4 linked regions of the Caenorhabditis elegans genome follow. The protein of the gene in region 2 interacts with the protein of the main gene of each other region in a pairwise test. Each region holds a gene or a part of one and is shown on either strand. Other genes may lie near its edges. The genes, in order: R02F2.5, pat-12, abl-1 and lin-5.

Region 1 (3,681 bases), 4.7 Mb from region 2:
ATACGAATTTTAATATTAAAAAAATCGTGAACACTATTTTTTGAGTCGTTTGTCTAATGGGGTTATTCAAGTAATGTAGCAAAATGCATTTAAATACATTTGTGACGTCACAAATGTATTTAAATACATGTTTTTATCTACTTGAATAAGGTTGTGACGTAATTTTTCTACACTTTTTAATTTTCCGACACTACTTGAATAACCCCATAACAAATTACATAAATTTTTTTCTAGTTTTTAAATATTGAAAAAAAAGAAGAAAAATTGTAGAAGTTGGAGAAGAGTTTTAAAAAACATTTAAAATTAAAGTTCTTTTTTGAAAACCCATTTTAAAACGTTTTATCTTTTTTTTCAGGATTGTCAAATTGATAAAAATGAGAACTAGTATTTCTTGAGAAATTTCCCTTTTTTTTAAAGAAGAAAATAGACATTTTAATTTTAAATAATCTGTAATAATCACTATTTCTTCTCGAACTCGATTTTTTTTAAAAATTCTGTCAACTTATTAATTTTCGAAATTAGGGGGAGCTTGTTGAGTATGTTTTGGTAAAAGTTACCAAGAAAAACGACTAAATTGAAATTTTAAAAAAACCTTCAATTATTCTCAAAAACGGTCTAAATTTTTATTCTTCAGCTGACTGCATCAATCATTGGAGACGCAGTATTCTATGGATCAGACAGTCTACTTGCCATGTCAAAACTACATTCACTGGCCGATAAAAATGCATCCGCGTTGCTCGCCACGAATCTTCCAGTTGTTGAGAGAACCCGATACAAGAAGTTCCTTTCTACGATCACGAGGGCTTCGAAGCGAATTTATTAATTGTTTTTTTTGTTATAATATCCATTTTTATGTTGTTGATTGTTCATCTTGTTCTGTTGATTTTTAAGTGTTCAATTAAAAAATTTATTCCAAAAAAACACAAAAGAGTTCAAAAAAGTCAATAGAATCCGCATCCATAACCACCATATCCTCCATACCCGAAATCAAAACCTCCGTATCCATATCCTCCATAAAATCCATTATAATATGGGTCGAACATAACACCACCTCCATAATATGGATAAGGGCTCATGATCACTGGCGGCGGAGCCATGACAACTGGAGCCACCGGAGCAGCACCCATGACCATTGGTTGGGATCCATAGACCACGGGAGCAGCTTGTTGTTGTTGAGGGTAAGCTTGAGCAGGTGCAGCCGGAGTTGCCTGGGGAGCTGCCTGAGGAGCTGGTGTAGGTGCCGGGACTGGGGCTCGCGGAGCAGACTTTCTCTTCTCCACTTCCTTTTCAACCTCTTTCTCCGTTTGGTCGATGCAAGTAAAAAGCTCTGGATCTTCAGGCGTTGGTGATGGCTCCGCAACTCTCTCCGGTGGTTCTGCAATCGTTACTCTCCTATTTTTGGGCTCCACGACTTTCTCAGGAGCTTTCGGTGCTGCTGGAGGTGCGTAGGCCGGTGGAGGTCCCTGTGGGATCCCTTGAGGCTGCTGTCGAGGGTATGCCTGAAAAATCGATATTTTCTTTTATTGATTTTCGGAAAATTATCGATTTTCCCTACCATTTGCTCTGTCGAGGCGTTTGGAGATGGTTGAGTGTGCTGACGATTCTGAAAAGTTGAGGTACAAGGAGGAGTTCTTGAGCTTGACTTCAAGGCGACCTTCGTCTGCCTTGTGTCTATTCAGTTTTTTTTATGGAACCCGGAACAGGGATTATAGGCAGGCACGGTCACCTCATATGAAACTTGGAGACTTACCATTTGGTCCGAGCGTTGGTTGTTCCGTTGATTATTTCTAGCTTTCTTCGATTGACAGCATCCCATTTTTCATCGATATATTTGAGTTCTTTTGATTATAAAGTAAGTTGGGAATAAAATTTTTTAGCGGCAAGTTTGAACATTTGAAAAATAAATCATTTCCAAAAAAATAACTGCAAGGCGTTCACGCAGAAATGGAAGCGGCCGACACTTTCCTTTTTCTAATGCCAGCAGTCGACACTTCCCGTGGATAAATTTTGGTGGATCAATTTGCCAGTTTCGGACCGATTAACTAATTTTTAGAAAACAATCTCAGACTATTTTTATTGCAAAAAAAGGATCAATTATCAATTATTTCTTATCGGAAATATTTTCAAGTCACTTCATCTTCTTCTTACTTTTCATTTGACATCTCGATTAAAACATAAACGGATCACAATAGAATGGATCACCGTAGTACATTCCACCTCCATAACATGGATAAGGATCCACAATGACCACTGGCGGAGGAGCAGCCACTACGACTTGCTGTTGCGGTGGATAGTATGGCTGTTGAGCCCCATACGCAGGAGGCGGTTGTGGCTGGTACGGGAGACCTGGAGACGGTTGTTGACGTTGAGGTTGTGGAGGCTTCTGTCCATTGGGAGGTGGAGCTTGTTGCTGCTGCTGCTGTCGAGGTGGAGGTGGAGGTTGATTCCTATTCTGAGGTTGATTCTGGGCAGGATAGGGGCCTGATTGGGTTCCGGTTTGATTCTGAAAATATAGTTTTTGAGACGAGGAATCTCTAAAAATGAATGCTGTCGAGATTGTAAAAGGTGTGCAAAACTATAGTGACTCTACAGTAACCAGGTAATAAACCTGCGCCAACCGTACCCCTAACAACACGTAGTACTTTGGTTTCAAAAGAGTTCGCAGCGAAAGCTGATGCAAGCTTAAGCGTACAAGTACAGTATTACTACAGTAACACTGTAATTACAACGATGAGCTACCGTAATCTTGCAATAAACCTATGAAACCCGCTACCGTACCACTACAGTAAACCAATCGAAACTTGGTTCTGCAGAGCGTAATCCTACAGTACCTACCATTTGTTGTCCATTTCGATTTGAATTCCTACTATTCTGCTTGTTTTTTGAACCGCAGCATCCCATTTTCTCACGGCTTTCAGAAATGAATTTCTTTGAGTTTGAAATTGATTTTTGGAAAGTTTTACACGTAAATGTTAAACTTTTCGACTTTTTAAATTATTTTTTTCCAGATTTTTATTATTATTATTTAGGCACGAATGAAGTTCAATTTGAGACAGCTAACATTCACGAAAATAGGGGTTAACAAGGAAGGCGCGAAGGCAAACACAGGTAGGCACGAGGGAGTGAGATAGGCGGATAGGCTTGTAGGCTCAAAATGGTGTATGGACCTGAAAATGTTGATAATAACGCTGATAAAAACGTTGATAAAAACGATAGAATTGTACTGTAGTTTTTATTGAATATCATCAATTCGTAGAAATCTCGGTATATCACCAATACATACACATACACCTATATATATAAATGAATAAATAAATGCAGCGGTATGCACACCCGTTCGGTAAGCAATCCAAGTAGTTCATCCGGTATTAAATGTGGGAGAAGGTAGGGTACCATGAAAGAAGCTTAAACTCTCATTCGGAACCCGTCGTTGTTTTCTTCTTCTTCTTCTTGATTATTGTCAGCTCCCTCAGCTTCTGGTTCATCGGGCTCACAAGTTGTCGTTGGTTCCTCAGTTGTTGTAGATGTTGTGGTGGATTCCGTTGTTGTAGTCGGAGCCTCGTAGTTCTTTGGCATGTAGCAGAGCCCTTGGTAGCAGGCTGGAGCATTTGCTGGGCAGTTGGAGCATTTTCCATTGTCACCGGAAGCCCAGGTGAAAGCTGGCATCTGGAATAAGGAGTT
Region 2 (5,175 bases):
AAAACCGTGCCCCGGCGTGGTGGACGCGAAGAATGCGATCGAGATGACGTGGAGGATGACGCCACTCGAGCCAGATATTCTGCTCGTAACTGCCTGACTGTCGAGTACGGCGGTTCGGTATTGTCGTCGTTGGTTGAGGACATATTTGGATGGAAGCCTAATTGTCAGTAACTTTTCTATATAATTCTCTAGGATTTTTCAATAAGGCAAGACGAGATCTCAGTGGGAGAAAAGAAAATAGAGTAACTATAAATATAAAAATTATAGATTTGGTCAAAGATGAGATCATTTCAATGATGGACACTTTTTAATTTTGAAAAGGTATCTTGTTAGAGAATTTTTTTTAAAAATCGATTTCGCCAATAAAAGTTAACAAAACAATATCTCCGTGATTTTTGAATTTGCAACTTTCCAAAAAAACTCTTTTCGAGGGCAAAAAATGAAGTGTTGAGCAGCGAGAGCCGACCACTACGGTATGTACTCGAATAAACAGAGAATCCCAAAATTGTGAGAAACGCAGGAAACGAGAGTGCTGGTGTAACGATGAAAAAGAATGGTTTTGAAAAAGAAGTACAACACAATGTTGGACATTTTTCTCACCCGCCCAGCAAACAGAAGCAACAGTGATTAGAGATGGGTGCCTTGCGCTCAGAGTTATGTCTATTGACCACAAAAGTTTTTGAAACAATAGGTATGTTAAAGCTGTTCCGCCGAGAAACATTTGGTTGCAACCATCAAATTTAAAAATTGAAATAGAATTGAAAAGATTGAACCTAGATTCTGGCACCTAATAATGAAAAAAAACACAGTGCTTTTGAGGATAATGGGGAGCCAGAGACTTAGTGAGAGGTCGGAGAGACGCACCCGGGAACTCCTAGGATTTTGACGAATGTGTTTGTCTTTCTTGTTTCGTATGTTAAAAACGAGGGATAGTGGAGAGAAAGACAAAACGAAGCAAAAAGCGCCAGGAGCAACACAGGGGAGGAGGAGGTTAAGGCACGCACGAGCATGAACACTTATCACCATGAGCACACTATTCGGGTCAAATGCGTGTTTCCCCGGTGCGCGGAACATAAGAACGACGCGGAACGCATGACGGTTAAGAACTACTGCAGAGAAATGATAAATACATCTATGTGTGGAGATGACTGGGATTTAACGAATTTCTGTAAATGTTTAGGAATACGTTTGCAGGTGGTGTCAGGCTCTCCCATTACAGTGTGGTCTACGAAAAATGCGGGAATTTTTTCCCAAAAAAATTGTGGTGTCAGCACGCTCAATCATACAAAAAAATCAGATGTCTGTGTCTTACCTCCCGCATTTTTTGAAGATCAAACTGAATTGAGACATTCTGACTCCAAGTGCGTTTGTTACACTAATATAATCTTTTCAGAAGTTGAAGTGAATTTTAACAAACTAAAGTAGAATTTTCGATATTTATTTCACTTTCATATAATACATAGTGGTGGCATAGAAAAGTTATTAGGCCTTAAAAACAGCTCCAGAGAGTACTATAATTTTATAAGATCTCCTGGGTCGTTGTAGAACTCCTATGCAGTAAAAAAATAGAATTCGGGGTAGATCCTTATGTTTTAAGCTATGAATTGGACTTCAAGACTTGCTAAAGTTGTAATTAATTAACCTATTTCTCGACTTGGACATTTTTTAGCTTTGAAGATACTCCTTTTGGAGATGACTATTTACTAGGTAAGTCTGATCGTTGTAATTCTAATGGTTTGATACATTGGTTCACTAGATCCTTAATTTACAATTTTTCAGATATTCAAAATTGTTACCAACTAAAACATACCGAATACTTAGCCAAATGGAAGTCTTTCCTCAGTTGCCAGTGCAGCGGATCTGTACCTTCCGACTTCTCGTTGTCGGGTGCACCAACCTGTAATCAAAACTGTTTGTATTTTAGGCAATTTGTTTCAATGTTGTTCAATTCGAAAATTGCTTTGTTTTTATTTCGGATTACTGATTCAACAGTCAAAGCATCACCCCCACGCATACACCGACAATTATTGTGGGAGGTGCGCGAGCGCGGGCGCCTGCTACTGCTGCTCCGAACAAACTTCGAAACAAACAATTTATGATTGCGGTAAGAGATAGAGTGAAGATAAGGAAGCAATGAAGGTTCAAAGTCAATAGGATTTTCTAAAAAAAAAATAAAGCATCAAATATGGAAAAGGAAATAACATATGATGGTCGAACATGATTATTTTGGAATATCAAACTAGATTAGTTCGTTTTTTTTTTGTCACCAAGAAATTAAAAACCTCAACCAATACTGAATTTTAGTCTTATTTTTAGGCAATAACAATTTTGAAAAAAAACTGAAAGTTAACTAAAAAGGAATATATGCAATGAACACTTTTCCTTTCATTTTGATCTTAAGACTGTATGATCAAGACAAAACCTAAGTTTGAGCCTAAACATAATTCTAAGTACAATCCTAAGCTTAAACCTAAGCATATACCTACGCCTAAACATAGGCCTAAGTCTAAGCTTATACATACGCCTAAGTCTGAGCCTAAGCCTATGCTTATACCTACACCTAAGAATAATGTTTATCTTATAGTTAGGCTTAAACGGATTACACTGCACCCTAAGTCTGAGCCTTAAACTACGACTAAGCCTTAGTCTCGTTATGCATCATTTTTAACAAGAAACAAAAAATTCCTACAACTTTAACCTGAAAACCTCTAAAAAAAACCTACTCATTAAAAAAAATTTCAAAAAAAAGGAAAATCCTCATAAAAATGAAGGAGGAGTAAAGAGGAAAAGAAAAGAGTTTCAAATTCTATCCGTCAAGCCCCCTCTCTCGCCGCGCAGAGCCTCCAGCAGCCACACATACAGTTTGTGTGTGCGTCGGCGGAAGTTTCAAGAGGCTTCTATTCGATCGAAGGAGAGATGTGTTAAGCGAGAGAAAACTCTTCGGCAGAGACACTATTCGATTTGGCGTAGAGCGCAGGACGCAAATTTTTTGGTGGATCTCATTAGTTGAGATTTTTTGGGTTGAGAGTATAGACAGGGGCTTACTTTTCCAGTCGGAAGCTGGTCCATTGATCTGTACTTCTTAGGCTCATTCACCTTTGAGGTGTGATCCAAATATCGATTTTTGCGCATTTTGATCAGCCATCCAGAATCTCCCGGAGATATTGGAGAAGCTTGAGGTTGCTGAAAACTCATTTATTGTTCAACGAATGCTCCGTTTTGAAAACCTGGAGTACCCGAAAACATCCCCGTCTACTCACCGGATTTAGCTGCTCGAATTGTGACGGCGTAGGCAAGACTGACAAATCGCTCATCGATTGGGAAGTTTTCTGAATTTCGGCTGACGGCTCTCTACACACTATTACGCTTCACACCACACCGTGTAGTTTCAGGGAAGTTGGTCAGTAGGTAGTAGGAGGATCCATGTGTTGTCGTTTCCAAGCCAGGGATATCTTTTTTAAAGGAGGGACAACACAGTATAACATGCACATAAGGACAAACAGGAAGACAAACAAACATGCAAGAAAGGGGATATAGACTTACTCTTTTCAGCGTCTCGATTCTCTGGAAACAAAATTATAAAAAATGTTCTAGTGTGAATAAGGTAACCCTAAACCAATGACATCTCTTAATTTTGTCAACTGGGTAATCGGGTCGATTTTTGAAAATGTATTTAACAATCTTAAAATAAATTTTTTTTTTCAAGGGTTCGACAAAGTTTGTTGGTCATCACTTGTAGGCTTTGTGTAATACATTTGTGATGTATTGCCAAATTTTCCTTATATTTTCTAATTTAACTATTTGAATACCTAGATTTATGCGGAACTCCGAATTACTTTTTAACTATACTTTTCATGCAGTGCTATGCATGCTCACCTGTTTCATGGTTTCAAGCTCCCTCAGGCTCTCATCATTCTTCTTTGGTCCAGGCCACCCTGGTTTGTTCCATGGCTGATTGGCTTCGTTTTCCTTTGCCTAGAACGTTTAATTTTATAATTTCATGACTTTATTAAATTAAAATCACCTTCAAATACTCTCTGAGCCGGGATGCTTCCATCTCACGATGGCGATCGACACTCTCGGCGAGATAGTTGCTGGTGGTGATTGGACGCGATTCACTGCTCTGAACATGATATAAAATTTTATTTCAGTCTTCAAAAGTACGGCTTACTCTGAACCGACGTTGCTCGAGCGGATCAAGTTTGATCTTCGACTTGCTATGCTCACTTGGGAAGTCTCCGGCTAGGTTCCGGCGGGGATCCGGAATTCTCGTGGAGATATATGGCATGTTAGCATTTGTGATAACCTGTAAGAGAAAAGTATATTGAGACCAACAAATAAGTTTAAAATAATGAGTCACTTATACAGAGCCTAATGATTTTGTAAAATAAACGTTTCTCGCGACGCAATCTGGCGCTGATCACTGTGATTTTTTTGTCGTAAGTTGCACTTTCTTCTAAAAGTTCCCTAAAGTTAATTGTATTTACACGATTTTTGAAAAACTACAAAATTTGAACTTTCTCTCTTTCCTCCCTCCCCCTTAACTAAATTGATGCGGATCTCAAATGCGGAAGGAGAAAGCCAGGTTGTTTGTTGATTGCCTCGTTACCCTCCACAAATGCTCAACTATTTTCCAGGTTAGTGACCCCATGATCGGCTTTCTTAGGTAGTGAGACTGTTTTTCTCTGGCTCCGTGCTTGCGCGCGCGCACGCAGAAGTTTACTTTCTAACGTTGTAGGAAAAAATGACCGTGTGTGCTCAAAGGAACACACATCGCGATCAGGTAGACTAGGCCTAAAGTATTTAAGGAGTCAACTGGGAACTTTGAGAAAGAAACCGTTTAATTTTCCCTTTTCCTCAAATTTTTCTTTGGTCGCCGTAACTTCTAGATTTTCCAGCAAACGATGAGGTTGCTCATTGTGCTCTCCGCACTACTTATCCCTTGTTTGGCGCAGCTTTCCGAAGACTCATCGGAACTAGAATTTGGTGGGCAACAAGCTCAACGTCCATCTCCCGATGGACCATTGTTCCCTAGATTCTTGATGCATGTGCCTAGATTTGCTAGAAAAGAGTTCTTCGACATTGTTAGTAACGATCAACTCTCTCAAGATCAGCAAAATGAGCAGCTCACAATCTGGGCCAAGGCATTCAATGTGACGGTAAGTACTACCGTCC
Region 3 (5,204 bases), on a different chromosome or scaffold from region 2:
TAACCAGTAGGATTCTTCGGATGATTTTTCAAAAATACATATTTGATATATACCGTATTTCTTCTATTAATATGGCCTCCCTATTAGACTTGCACTCCCTATTAGTATTGCTCCTTGAACACCCTCCGAAAATTAGTATTGCACTCCCTATTAGTGTTGCACTCCCTAATAGTATTGCGTCTACTTTTTTTTTGGTACAGACCCACCTCACTAATTTTGAGATTTTAACAACATTTTTTGCCTACTTTGCAACAATTTGTGGTAAAATTTTTATGAAATTGAAGTTATTGTACCTTTTTGTTGCAATTACAATCAAATTTTCACTTTCACACAAGGTTCGAGTTTTTTCAGAAAAAAAATCAGAAAGCTCAAAGTCAGAAAAATTTTCTGAAAATTAATATTGCACTCCCTAATAGTCTTGCACTCCCTATTAGTATTGCAAGCGGGAAGACCATCGAACAATAGTATTGCAGTCATATTAATAGAAGAAATACGGTATACAATTTTCAAAACTTCGAAACGAGGTTTATATTAGGTCTCCAAATAAGTTCCGGGTCAAAAATCATAACTTTGTTCGCTGTGTATCGATTTTTATGAAACTTTGGGAATTTATGTTATCAACCATGTTCTTTCATTTGACAATAGTCGCAAAAATTTTTGTACACCTCAAGTGTCCTAACTCGGAGCCAATTTTTCCAGGAATTTTTCCTATCTCGCTTCTTTTAACCTTTGAATTGAGGTTTGTGTGCGGATTTTGCTTTGCTTAAAATACATTATTAGAAAACGACAAAAGTTTAGAAAAAAATCCGTCCAAAAAATTTTTTTTAAATATATAATAATCGTTTTAGTTTGAAATTTGAATCTCGAGAAATATTCAAAAAACTCAAAAATTATCCGAAAAAATTATATTTTCTATTAACATTTTGGTGTATCGAAATAAATTGATATGTTTTGTATGTGTAAAAATAGTTCACGCTTGTTTACATCATTTTTGTAGGGAAAATCTAGAACTTTCGACAAAATTTTTTTTGAACATTTTTTGACGACCAACCAAAAAAAAATTTTTTGGACGGATTTTTTTCTAAAATTTTGTCGTTTTCTAATAATGTATTTTAAGCAAGGCGAAATCCGCACACAAACCTCAATTCAAAGGTCTTCTTTTAGAAGCGAGATAGGAAAAATGCCTGAAAAAATTGGCTCCGAGTTAGGACACTTGGGGTGGACAAAAAATTTTGTGACTGATGTCAAATGAAAGATCATTGTTGATAACATGAATTCCCAAAGTTTCATAAAAATCGATACACAGAGAACAAAGTTATGATTTTTGACCCGGAACTTATTTGGAGACCTAATAGATTTTTCACTTAAAAAATACATGTAAGAACTGTGATTTGATAAGCAAACACATACACAAATCCGGAACCGGAAGATTTTAAAATTAGTATTCTCTTTTCTATTTCATAAAACTTTTATAGTTTTGTGTTTAATCACGTTATGAAAAAGATCAATGATCTGAACTTCGTCAAATCTGATTTAGGATATATTTTGGTTGTTCAGCTCGGTTTGTCTGATGTAAATTATTTTTGAAAATTCTACTGAAACACCTAACTGATTTTATTTTTTCAGATAACAAAAAAAGCAGAGACAATGCCGTTTCTTCGAGAGTAACACAAAATTAGCAAAACTATTCAATATTGTCACATGCCGTGTCAATGTCTAGGGAATTGTAAAAATGGGTGTGGACTTGCGAACGTTTATATTCATTGTATACGCGTCGCACCAAATCCATCATAAAAATTGGATAGAAAGAATGAAGAACAGGAGGTTGGGTGTCCCCCGTGGTTCTCAGTCCCACACAGAAAGGAAAATGTGCCAGAGCACATTTTCTAATTGGTCAACGAGAAGAAGGGCGATTCGTCGTACTACTAACACAAGTCCAGCTGCTTCTCTGACCCAGGGAGAAAAAAGATGGGGGGAAATGGTAAATCTAGTTAAAACTGGAGTGAAGTGAATAAAATGCGAATAGTCAATAGGGGTCGAGCATTTATAACTGCGAATATGGCATTGAAACCTATTGAATTGGAATAACAAGTTGGAGAAGCGACGTTTTGCCGGGAGGCGGCAAAGCGGGAAAGGGGAGAGGAACTGGATTTATTCCATTTTTTTCTATTCTTCCAAACTTCCTTTCCCAAATAAATTATGCCTAAACCTTTTAAAAGTGTATAATTTTATAAATATTGTAGTTTGTAAAAAATTATGATCTAATTATTCTAGATGAGTAGAGAAGATACACTTGATTGGATAGTCTCCCATATTTGGATCACGCATGCGTTGTCCTCAAACTAGGGACCGGGAGTTGACGGACGAGGGAAGGGAGATGTGACCTCTTGGTTTGTCTGCGTCCCGTCTTCCACTCATGCTCTCTTTCAATCCACCATACCAGCTATTACTATCTCTACTCTCGTTTTCTTCCGCGTCTCGTTTACTTGTGACTTTAGAAGAGGATCTCTCACCCTCCCCACACCCTCTCCGGCATATATCTACAGCGAACGGGAATACGAAGGGAACCGAACACTTGGAGGATTAGAGAACCTAACCGCATAAAGCATTAAGAGCGGTTCTGAATCTGTCATCTACACTCGAAGGGCCTTATTGTGGGCAGACAATTTCGAATGAGATTGTGACAATTCATCGAAAAGTAGAAGGAACGTTAAAAACAATACATAAAACTTAACATACTGTTTTTCATGTTTTAACATGAACTTTTTTTTTTTGAGAAACTGAGAAATTACAAAATATTAGTTTTATAATACTTTACGTATAATTTATTTTACAATTTCGCCTTATTTTCTTTCAAAACTGAGAGCAGCTTCCTTTTTTTGAAAAATAGAAAAACAAAAGCTGATACTTCAGAAACAATCGTAAACTTTATCAGTACTTTTTTAATGAGTTTCAAACAATAATCATTTTTTTAGGAAAACTTTTGAATCAACAAATATTCATTAGTTTCGTCAAGTTAATATTTTTCAAGGCTGAATTTTTCCAAATGGTATGAAATTATACCATTCAATTTTTTTTTTGAAATCCAATGCCAAACTCAAATGTTGAAATTATATTTGTTTTTAGTTGAAAAGTAATTTTCACAATTTTCAAGCGCAAAATGCTTACCACATGTGAAGAGTTCATTGTCATTGATTTCTTTCCCAGTACTATGTGAATGACCCCTGAAAAACATTTTCTTCTTTATTAGTATATGTTGTTCGTAAAATTAAAATAAACAAAATACCATGGCCTTATAGTTTTTGAGAAGAATTATGAAATGAACTGAACTCACATTTTTGTTAAGTCCTACATGGGAGAATGTTTTGATGTTTTCAAAGTTAGAAAAGCCTGAAAATTATGAAGTTTGGCTTGAATTAAAAAAAAGAAATAAAAAGAAAAAATCGAAGAAGACAAAAAAAAAAGAACATGGAGGAAAAAAGAAAGGACGCGCAATTGGTGTGAAGGTATGTGTCGAGTACCCGGCTGCCCTCTCTTTTCTCATAACCCATCCAGTGACCAGCAGAGCGCGCTTGCATACTTCTCACTCGTTGTTCACTGCTTATTACTGCGCACTTGGTTCAACACTAACGCCTATTCGCTAGTCAAACAATAACAACAGTTCCTGTCAGATAAATAGTACTAAGCTAGAGGAGATTGGAAACGCGGAGTAGAGACTACAAATACTTTGAACTGATTGAACTTATATGCATACGAAATGAATGGATAATGTTTAAACTGGATATAATTAGTTTTTAGTTGTTTTACAAAATTGTGGTGATTTAATAATTAAAAAAAAGTTATGCTATTCGGATATTTGTGTATTCGCAAAAACCATAGTTTTAAACCAATTAACAAATTGTCAATTACAAATCTAAAATCTAACAATTATTGACAAGACCATACATATTAATAAACAAAAAAGTTTTGCATTGTAAAACCAATCAAAACTTGTCGCCGTTCCTTTTTCGCTATGTTTTATACAAATCTGCGATACGAATTCGTATCGGTTGAAAGTGTGGGGATGAAGTGTGAAATGAAACAAAAAGTGTGATCACAAAGAATGGGACGAGAGGCCAGGAGGTACTCAAAACCCCCGCCAATTTTGTCCCATAAAAATTGGAGCGACGAAAGAGTATGGGAATGCAGTTTGAAATAGAAAAGTTGAACAATAGGTAGTATTCAGATTGACGCATTTTTTAAATGGAAATCAAAACTAAAAGAATCAAAATTTTGAAGAAACAGTACGGTATGCCTCTGAGGGTTGGTTGAGTGAATTCTAACTCATTAGAAAATTGCTGTCCTACTATTTTGAAAACAATAAAAGGGCTCCTTAGACTAAAATATGCTGAAAAGTACCTATCAAGTTTTAAATAAGTTTAAAAATTTTTGGAGATTTGCATTGTTTCACGGACTATATAATTGTACATGAAGCACTAATTTTAAATTGTGTGTTTAAGAATAATTTGTTAATTGAGAACAAATTCCATACTTGAAACACTCAATAAGAACGCACTCTAATGCATACAATAATTCTTTAAAAAAACTCCCAAGTTTTAATAATTGCTGACGAAGATGTTTTGGAAAACGTGATCTCCAAGTAATGAATGCTTGGCAATTACAAATAACTTTTTGAAATCAAAAGATTATATGTGGTTGTATTTCTCCATAAAAAAGTGGAATTGTGTGTAGGGTTTTCAAAAGATGAAAATAGGTTTGTTGTTATAACATGCATATGTAATATGACTATGAAACTGTGCTATTTTGCTAGTGTTAGTGATTTTGATGGTGACAAAGTGTTCTATTTTCGATAATTTTTTTTATTTTTCGTCTTTTCTCCTCGTTTAATTGTTGGAAATTACACATTTACATATTAAGTCTACTAAAATTCTTTCACATTTACATATTAAGTCTACTAAAATTTCTCCCATCCTATTTTTATTTAAACCAGTCGTTAAAAAAAATAGCTAAAATAAATCCAAATACGAAAAAAAGTTGAAAGTAAACTTTTGTAGAGTTTTTTGCGTGTCGAAGAACTTTGAAAATAGTAAAGTTTTGTGAAATGCGCAGAACAAAAACTGAAACTAAATGGGAACACACAAAAACACAAGAGAAGACGAACATCGACAAAAAAGTTGGTAGTAGCTGCTGGTTGGCGAGGAGAG
Region 4 (5,593 bases), on a different chromosome or scaffold from region 2:
TGTACGAAAATCAGTTGACCGAAATTTCGCATCTCGAATCACTCGTAAATTTGGTTTCTCTTGATCTGAGCTATAACAGGTGAAGAATTTAAGAAACTTTTATTTCAATAATAACTTTCAGAATACGCCAAATCAACGGCTTGGATAAATTGACAAAGCTCGAGACTCTTTACCTTGTCAGCAATAAAATTGAAAAAATCGAAAATTTAGAAGCTTTGACGCAGCTCAAACTGCTCGAACTGGGAGATAATCGGTAAATATGGAATGTTTCAACATCAAAATCACAAATTGTGTTCAGAATCAAGAAAATCGAGAACATTGGTCACCTTGTAAATTTGGATGAATTATTTATCGGCAAAAATAAAATTCGTCAGTTGGAGGGAGTGGAGACCTTGCAGAAGCTCAGTGTTCTCAGCTTGCCGGGAAATCGTATTGTGAAAATTGAAAATGTTGAGCAACTGAATAATCTGAAGGAACTTTACCTCAGTGATCAGGGTCTACAAGATATTCATGGCGTCGAACCTCTGGTAAAAAGCAATTCAAAATACACTGAGAAATGGGTCTTTTTTGCAGACTAATTTACTTCTTTTGGATGTTGCAAATAACGAAATCAAAACGTTCAGTGGCGTTGAAAGACTAGAAAGTCTTAATGATTTCTGGGTAACCGAGACATTTTACGTTTCTTCTATATCTTTTATTATTGCAGGCAAACGACAACAAAGTGGAAAGCTTCTCCGAAATTGAGCAACTTTCAAAGTTAAAGGGTCTTCAAACTGTATACTTGGAGAGAAACCCGTTCTATTTCAATGATACAAACCAATATCGCAGAAAAGTTATGATGACCCTCACCCAAGTAACTCAAATTGATGCTACTACGTGCAGAAAGCCAATTGAATAACTCTCGGACGCTTCCAATAAATATCCGTTTGCTTTTCTTATCCATGATAATCTTTCATAAATATGTATCAGTTTGCTTCATTGTTTGATATTGAGAACAAAGTGTAAGGTTATTAAGAGGAATCGCAAATGAATCATAATCGACCTCCATATGGGCGAAGCCAATCGAAATGGCCAGATATTATCAGCTAATGAAAATTTAAAAAAAAAACGACTAATCAAGAGTTTGAAAAAGGTTTCATACTTTGAGAATAATGCAGTAGTTTTTAGACGGTGCGGTGAGATTTTAAGAAGAAATTATTTATTCTTCTCGCTAAATAAATATGAACCAAAACCAACTTTCCATGCCTGAAAACTTAAAGTGTGTCAATTACAGAGCTTTTCTTTTGAGAACAATCAAGAAGTTTCCTCGAAAAGTATTAAACATATATGAAATGAAAGCTACTGTAAGATTTTTTGTTGTGAAAATAAAGATTTTATTGGAAGGCGCACTTAACTTTGTCCCCTAAAAAAGGAATGTTCTTTCTTTGTTTTCATTAAATAATTTCAAACTCAGCAATGTGTATACGGTTTTTTTAAAAGGCGCATGCACATAATCTTTCACATGGTTTTATAAATAAAGAATGAAACCATTTTCGCGCGCGCGCGCATTTTTGGTTTTATTTTTCATGTTAGATTCCTCTAATGTTCATTTCAATCAGTGTGTCATCCCACTTTTTAACAGCTTCATTTTTATTTATTATTCGTCCTTTTAATATTTTTTTGGTAGACTTGTGCATGTTGACCTGCAGGTCCATGGAAAAATTGTCATTTGAATTCCCGCTGTTTTTAGAAGTGTCGTGAGAAAAGTGTACGAGCATGGTGTAAGAGACGCAGACATTCTGCGTGCGTCTTTTAAATATTCTTCGTTTATGTATGCGTTCTCTCTCGTTCTTTCGCTCAACCACTCGCATTTTCTTTGAATAATTACTCCTTCTGCAGAATGAGCGTGAGCACATCAGTTGTGAAGTCAATGCTACAATTGACGAACTATTTTGGCTCCAATTTCACACCGAAGACGGAGACAATCAGCTCATTAGCCGAGCTTTGGGAGAGGCACGGGAGTATGATCGCCAGTATGATGTAAGTAATAGCTCATTCATAAACAATTTCATATTTTATTTTTCAGGTCATGCGACACTCGGGAGTTTGGCACAGCTGACAAATTCTATGAAGTTATCTTCCGCAAAATCGCCACAACGAGTCTCAGCTTCATGACCGATTCATTGGAACCGAAGCTTGCAGCGAGCGGAGATTCACTGGAGATTTGCAAATTCTACGCTCTGTTTCTCGAGTATATGAGAAAGGATCACTCGGGAATGCTCACTCGCGCATTGGAGCAAGCGTCATCAGAGAATCGCGTCGACACAGCTGTGCTTCTTGATATGTTTTTGTTTTTCGACAACGTGTATTCGGAAAGTACCGCTGACGACTGGTGGGCATGTCTTCGGAGAGATGACGAAGATCAGGAAGCATCCAGTGGCTTCAGGACTCCGAAAAGGAACAACTACAGCTTGACATCATTGCAAACACCAACAGCTACTGCCCGGCGACTACGCACAGCTTCCTCAACTGCTCGGCGAAGCCCTATAGCGGAGGCTGTCGATTCCCCTACCATGAAGTTCATGCGAAGCGAGCGGGAGCTGAAGCAGTCTAAAGCGAGAATCTTTGGTTTGGAGCAAATGTTAGGAGACCTTGAAGATGACAAGACCAAGTTATCGGCTGAGAACAGAACTTTGAAGCTTTCGTAAGTAAAATGGTACATTGAATTTAAAATATGGAGAAAATATTTTAGGAATTCCGATCTGAAAAGCGACATCGCTAAACTGAAAGGTATCGCCGAGGAGGCACAATTTCGTGCTGAAGAATTGAGCTGTGATCTCGAAGCCAAAAAGGATGAAGTCCACAACATTCTCCAACAACTCAATGAATCTCGAATGACGTTGAGATCCGAGCAAAGAAGTCTGGAGGAAGCTGACATAAAGAAAGAGAATCTTACTGCTAAGCTGAAAACGGTGACCGAAGACAATGGGAAGCTCATGAAGCAGGCCAGAGAGCTTCGAGATCTCAACGACTATGAATTCGCTAGATTCCGTCAGCAGGAACAGGAGCTTACTGAGACTCTTCGGGCGACGCAGGACCAAATGGCTGACCTCCAGGAACAACTTACCGGAGTGGAAAAAATAAGAGCGTCTCTGAAATCTGAAAACGAGAGCCTTTCTGCCAGTGTTGAGGAGTTGAGTGTTGCTTCATTGAGAAACAAACAAGATGCTGACAACTCTAAAACTATGCTTTCCGAGGAACTGGCGCGTTTTGAAGAGACTGTGGACAAACTCCGACAAGAAAAGCTTGAAGCGTTGAGCATGGCCAACTCCAGAATCGATGCTCTTCGTTTGGAACACTCGGAAAGAGAGAAAATGATGAAATCCACGAATGCACGCCTTCAGGCTGACCTTGACGAAGAGAGGAACGAGAAAAAGCGCTTGATGAATCTCTGGAATGAACTGAATGAAAAGTCCCTGAATGTCGACAAAGCTGTACATAAAAGCAACGAAGAATTTCAGTCAATGGGTTCTTGTCTTCAAAATGCGAAAAGACAAATTGAGCAGTTGGAAGTTGCGTGCAAGAGTAAGGACGATATCATCAAATTTCAAGAGGAGCAGAACAAACGAGCTGCCAATCTGATAAAGAATGAAAAGGCAATACGCGATCAGGCCTCAGCTCAATTTGCCGAGAAGTTGGCAATTCTCAAGAATTCTCTAGCGGAAAAAGAGAACGAAACAGTCACCCTTAAAGAAAACTTCGCAAGTGTGGTAATGAAGCATAAAGCCGAATTGGAGGAGAAAGAGGTTTGCTTGTTGAATATCAAATTGAATACAACATTACTTACTTTTTAGCTGTTCCTTCAATCTAGAGTGGATCTGATTCAACGTCTCGAGCACGAAGTTGCAGATCTTCGAGAGAAGGAAAGCGCCGAGATTAAGAAATCCACCTGGATGGGTGAGAGAATCAGTGAGTTCATATTTAACGTTTCGAAATTGAATTTTCAATCTTGTTTTTCAGAAATCTTCCAACAAGCTCCAATGAGAGGTTCGAGAATCAGATGCGGTTCGCCAGACAGCTTGCCAGACTTCCTCGCCGATAATGGACCAACAATTACCGAAGAAGAATTGCGAGCACAGCTTGCCACGTTCCCAAGAAAATCGATTGCTCCTAGTGTGGACGACAACGAATTCGATAAAGGAACACCGATTGGATTCAAGTCGAATATGGTAATCAGTTTATTATTATGCAACCTCAATTTTGTGAGACGAGACAATTTCTTATATAGACGAGACAATTTCTTACCACAAATATTGTCCAGAACGTTCAATTTTCAGTACGATGGACGTGAGTCAATTTGCTCTTTGGATTTCTTCGACCGGTCTAGTCTTCAACGTTCGTCGATGCGATCGGAATCTATCCAATTGGCATCGCCATCATCAGCTGGAGAGTTCAAGCAACCATTCACACCATCCGGAGTAACCAAGGAAAGAGTTGGAGTGCTCACTGCCAGAAACGAGAAAGTGAAGCCACACCTAAAATGCTCGTACGCCTCTGAAGTTGGAAGTACGAATTCGCCATCCGCAGACGAGGAGAATATCAAGAAGTCCAAGAAAAAGAACCGTCGGGATTCGATTTTTTCTGCTTTTTCGAGCAAAAAGCAGTAAAATATACTTTCATACATTGTAATATAACTTTTTCACAACACACTTTTGTTTTATGTTTTGCTCCGTGTTGTATCCTATTTTATCTATTTTACAATTCCTTTCCTAACGATCGCTGAGAAATGAAGAAGTTTCTTATTTTTTATGTGTTCTTGTGAAAATGATTGTTTCATCGCAGTTCTATTGTAAGAATCAGGCCCTTTTCCTTCACAAATCATCGTGCCGACCAGGGGTGTGCGGCGAATATTAGCCGAATTCGCCGTTCGCCGATGATTTTTTCGATTCGCCGAGTTCGCCGTTAGCTGAAAATTTTGAAAATCGGCGTTCGCCGAATTCGCCGTTCGCCGAAAAATCGCCGAATTCACCGTACGAGAATCGGCGAACTCGCAGAGCGAAATTCGCCGTTCGCCGAAAATTTCAAAAATCGGCGAGCGCCGAATTCGCCGATCGCCGAAAAATTCGATTCGCCGCACACCCCTGGTGCCGACGCGTCCCCGTTTGAATTGCCGCCCAGCCGCCGTGGTCGCATTCTCCGCGCCGAGACCCATCGTCGATAAAGGCTGCTCCTTTAACCGCCGAACGCCTAGATATATAAGCTGAGGATCGCTCATTCTGGATCATTTCTTAACCTTTTATAAGTTACGTGTCTTATTGCTCCTTTCTCCCGTTTACTTGTTGCGACATTGCCATACGTCTGTCCCTTTATACTAATAAATGCTTGTAAGATAAACCTCGCGTAGCTTGTTATGATAAACCCCACATCCTAAACCTTTACTCTATGGACGGCACCAAATTTGAAAGTATTATCCACATATTGTGTAGTTGTCGCAAAAGTTTTTTCGAATTCTCCTTTTCGATAGCTTCTCGTATAATAATTAGCTGGAATGTGTTTAATTAAAAATCAACGTTTGTTTCTTCTTTCTCGCCGAGAAGAGTTCTTGTTTATGCTG

Evidence for each region.
Region 1: the proteins of pat-12 (region 2) and R02F2.5 interact in a two-hybrid assay, tested with the Caenorhabditis elegans proteins (2 studies listed by BioGRID).
Region 3: the proteins of pat-12 (region 2) and abl-1 interact in binary tests that used the Caenorhabditis elegans proteins (3 or more experiments, as listed by UniProt).
Region 4: the proteins of pat-12 (region 2) and lin-5 interact in a two-hybrid assay, tested with the Caenorhabditis elegans proteins (2 studies listed by BioGRID).

What each region holds. Positions count from the first base shown.
Region 1 is NC_003281.10:5,477,539-5,481,219, reverse strand, and holds R02F2.5 (Prion-like-(Q/N-rich)-domain-bearing protein), read right to left. Parts: upstream 1,903-3,681; 5' UTR 1,817-1,902; coding exon 1,751-1,816; intron 1,604-1,750; coding exon 1,556-1,603; intron 1,500-1,555; coding exon 942-1,499; 3' UTR 892-941; downstream 1-891. Other genes in the region: R02F2.7 (Myb-binding protein 1A-like protein), read left to right, coding at 635-823; R02F2.6 (uncharacterized protein), read left to right, coding at 2,296-2,538; R02F2.10 (Prion-like-(Q/N-rich)-domain-bearing protein), read right to left, coding at 2,168-2,503, 2,836-2,901; Protein lon-1, read right to left, coding at 3,406-3,666.
Region 2 is NC_003281.10:735,784-740,958, forward strand, and holds the start of pat-12 (Protein pat-12), read right to left. Parts: upstream 3,196-5,175; coding exon 3,046-3,195; intron 1,898-3,045; coding exon 1,811-1,897; intron 1-1,810. Other genes in the region: idpp-1 (SXP/RAL-2 family protein Ani s 5-like cation-binding domain-containing protein), read left to right, coding at 4,905-5,159.
Region 3 is NC_003284.9:10,620,811-10,626,014, forward strand, and holds the start of abl-1 (Tyrosine-protein kinase abl-1), read right to left. Parts: upstream 3,380-5,204; 5' UTR 3,337-3,379; coding exon 3,335-3,336; intron 3,225-3,334; coding exon 3,169-3,224; intron 1,898-3,168; exon of another isoform or gene 1,773-1,897; intron 1-1,772. UniProt on the Caenorhabditis elegans protein: Functions downstream of migratory protein mig-13 and is involved in Q neuroblast migration during larval development.
Region 4 is NC_003280.10:7,858,781-7,864,373, forward strand, and holds lin-5 (Spindle apparatus protein lin-5), read left to right. Parts: upstream 1-1,878; 5' UTR 1,879-1,879; coding exon 1,880-2,019; intron 2,020-2,065; coding exon 2,066-2,683; intron 2,684-2,731; coding exon 2,732-3,785; intron 3,786-3,833; coding exon 3,834-3,948; intron 3,949-3,999; coding exon 4,000-4,208; intron 4,209-4,316; coding exon 4,317-4,646; 3' UTR 4,647-4,783; downstream 4,784-5,593. Other genes in the region: sds-22 (Protein phosphatase 1 regulatory subunit SDS22 homolog), read left to right, coding at 1-79, 122-253, 299-527, 574-660, 707-898. UniProt on the Caenorhabditis elegans protein: Essential component of the spindle apparatus required for spindle positioning and chromosome movement. Acts to recruit or anchor gpr-1/gpr-2 complex to the spindle and cortex.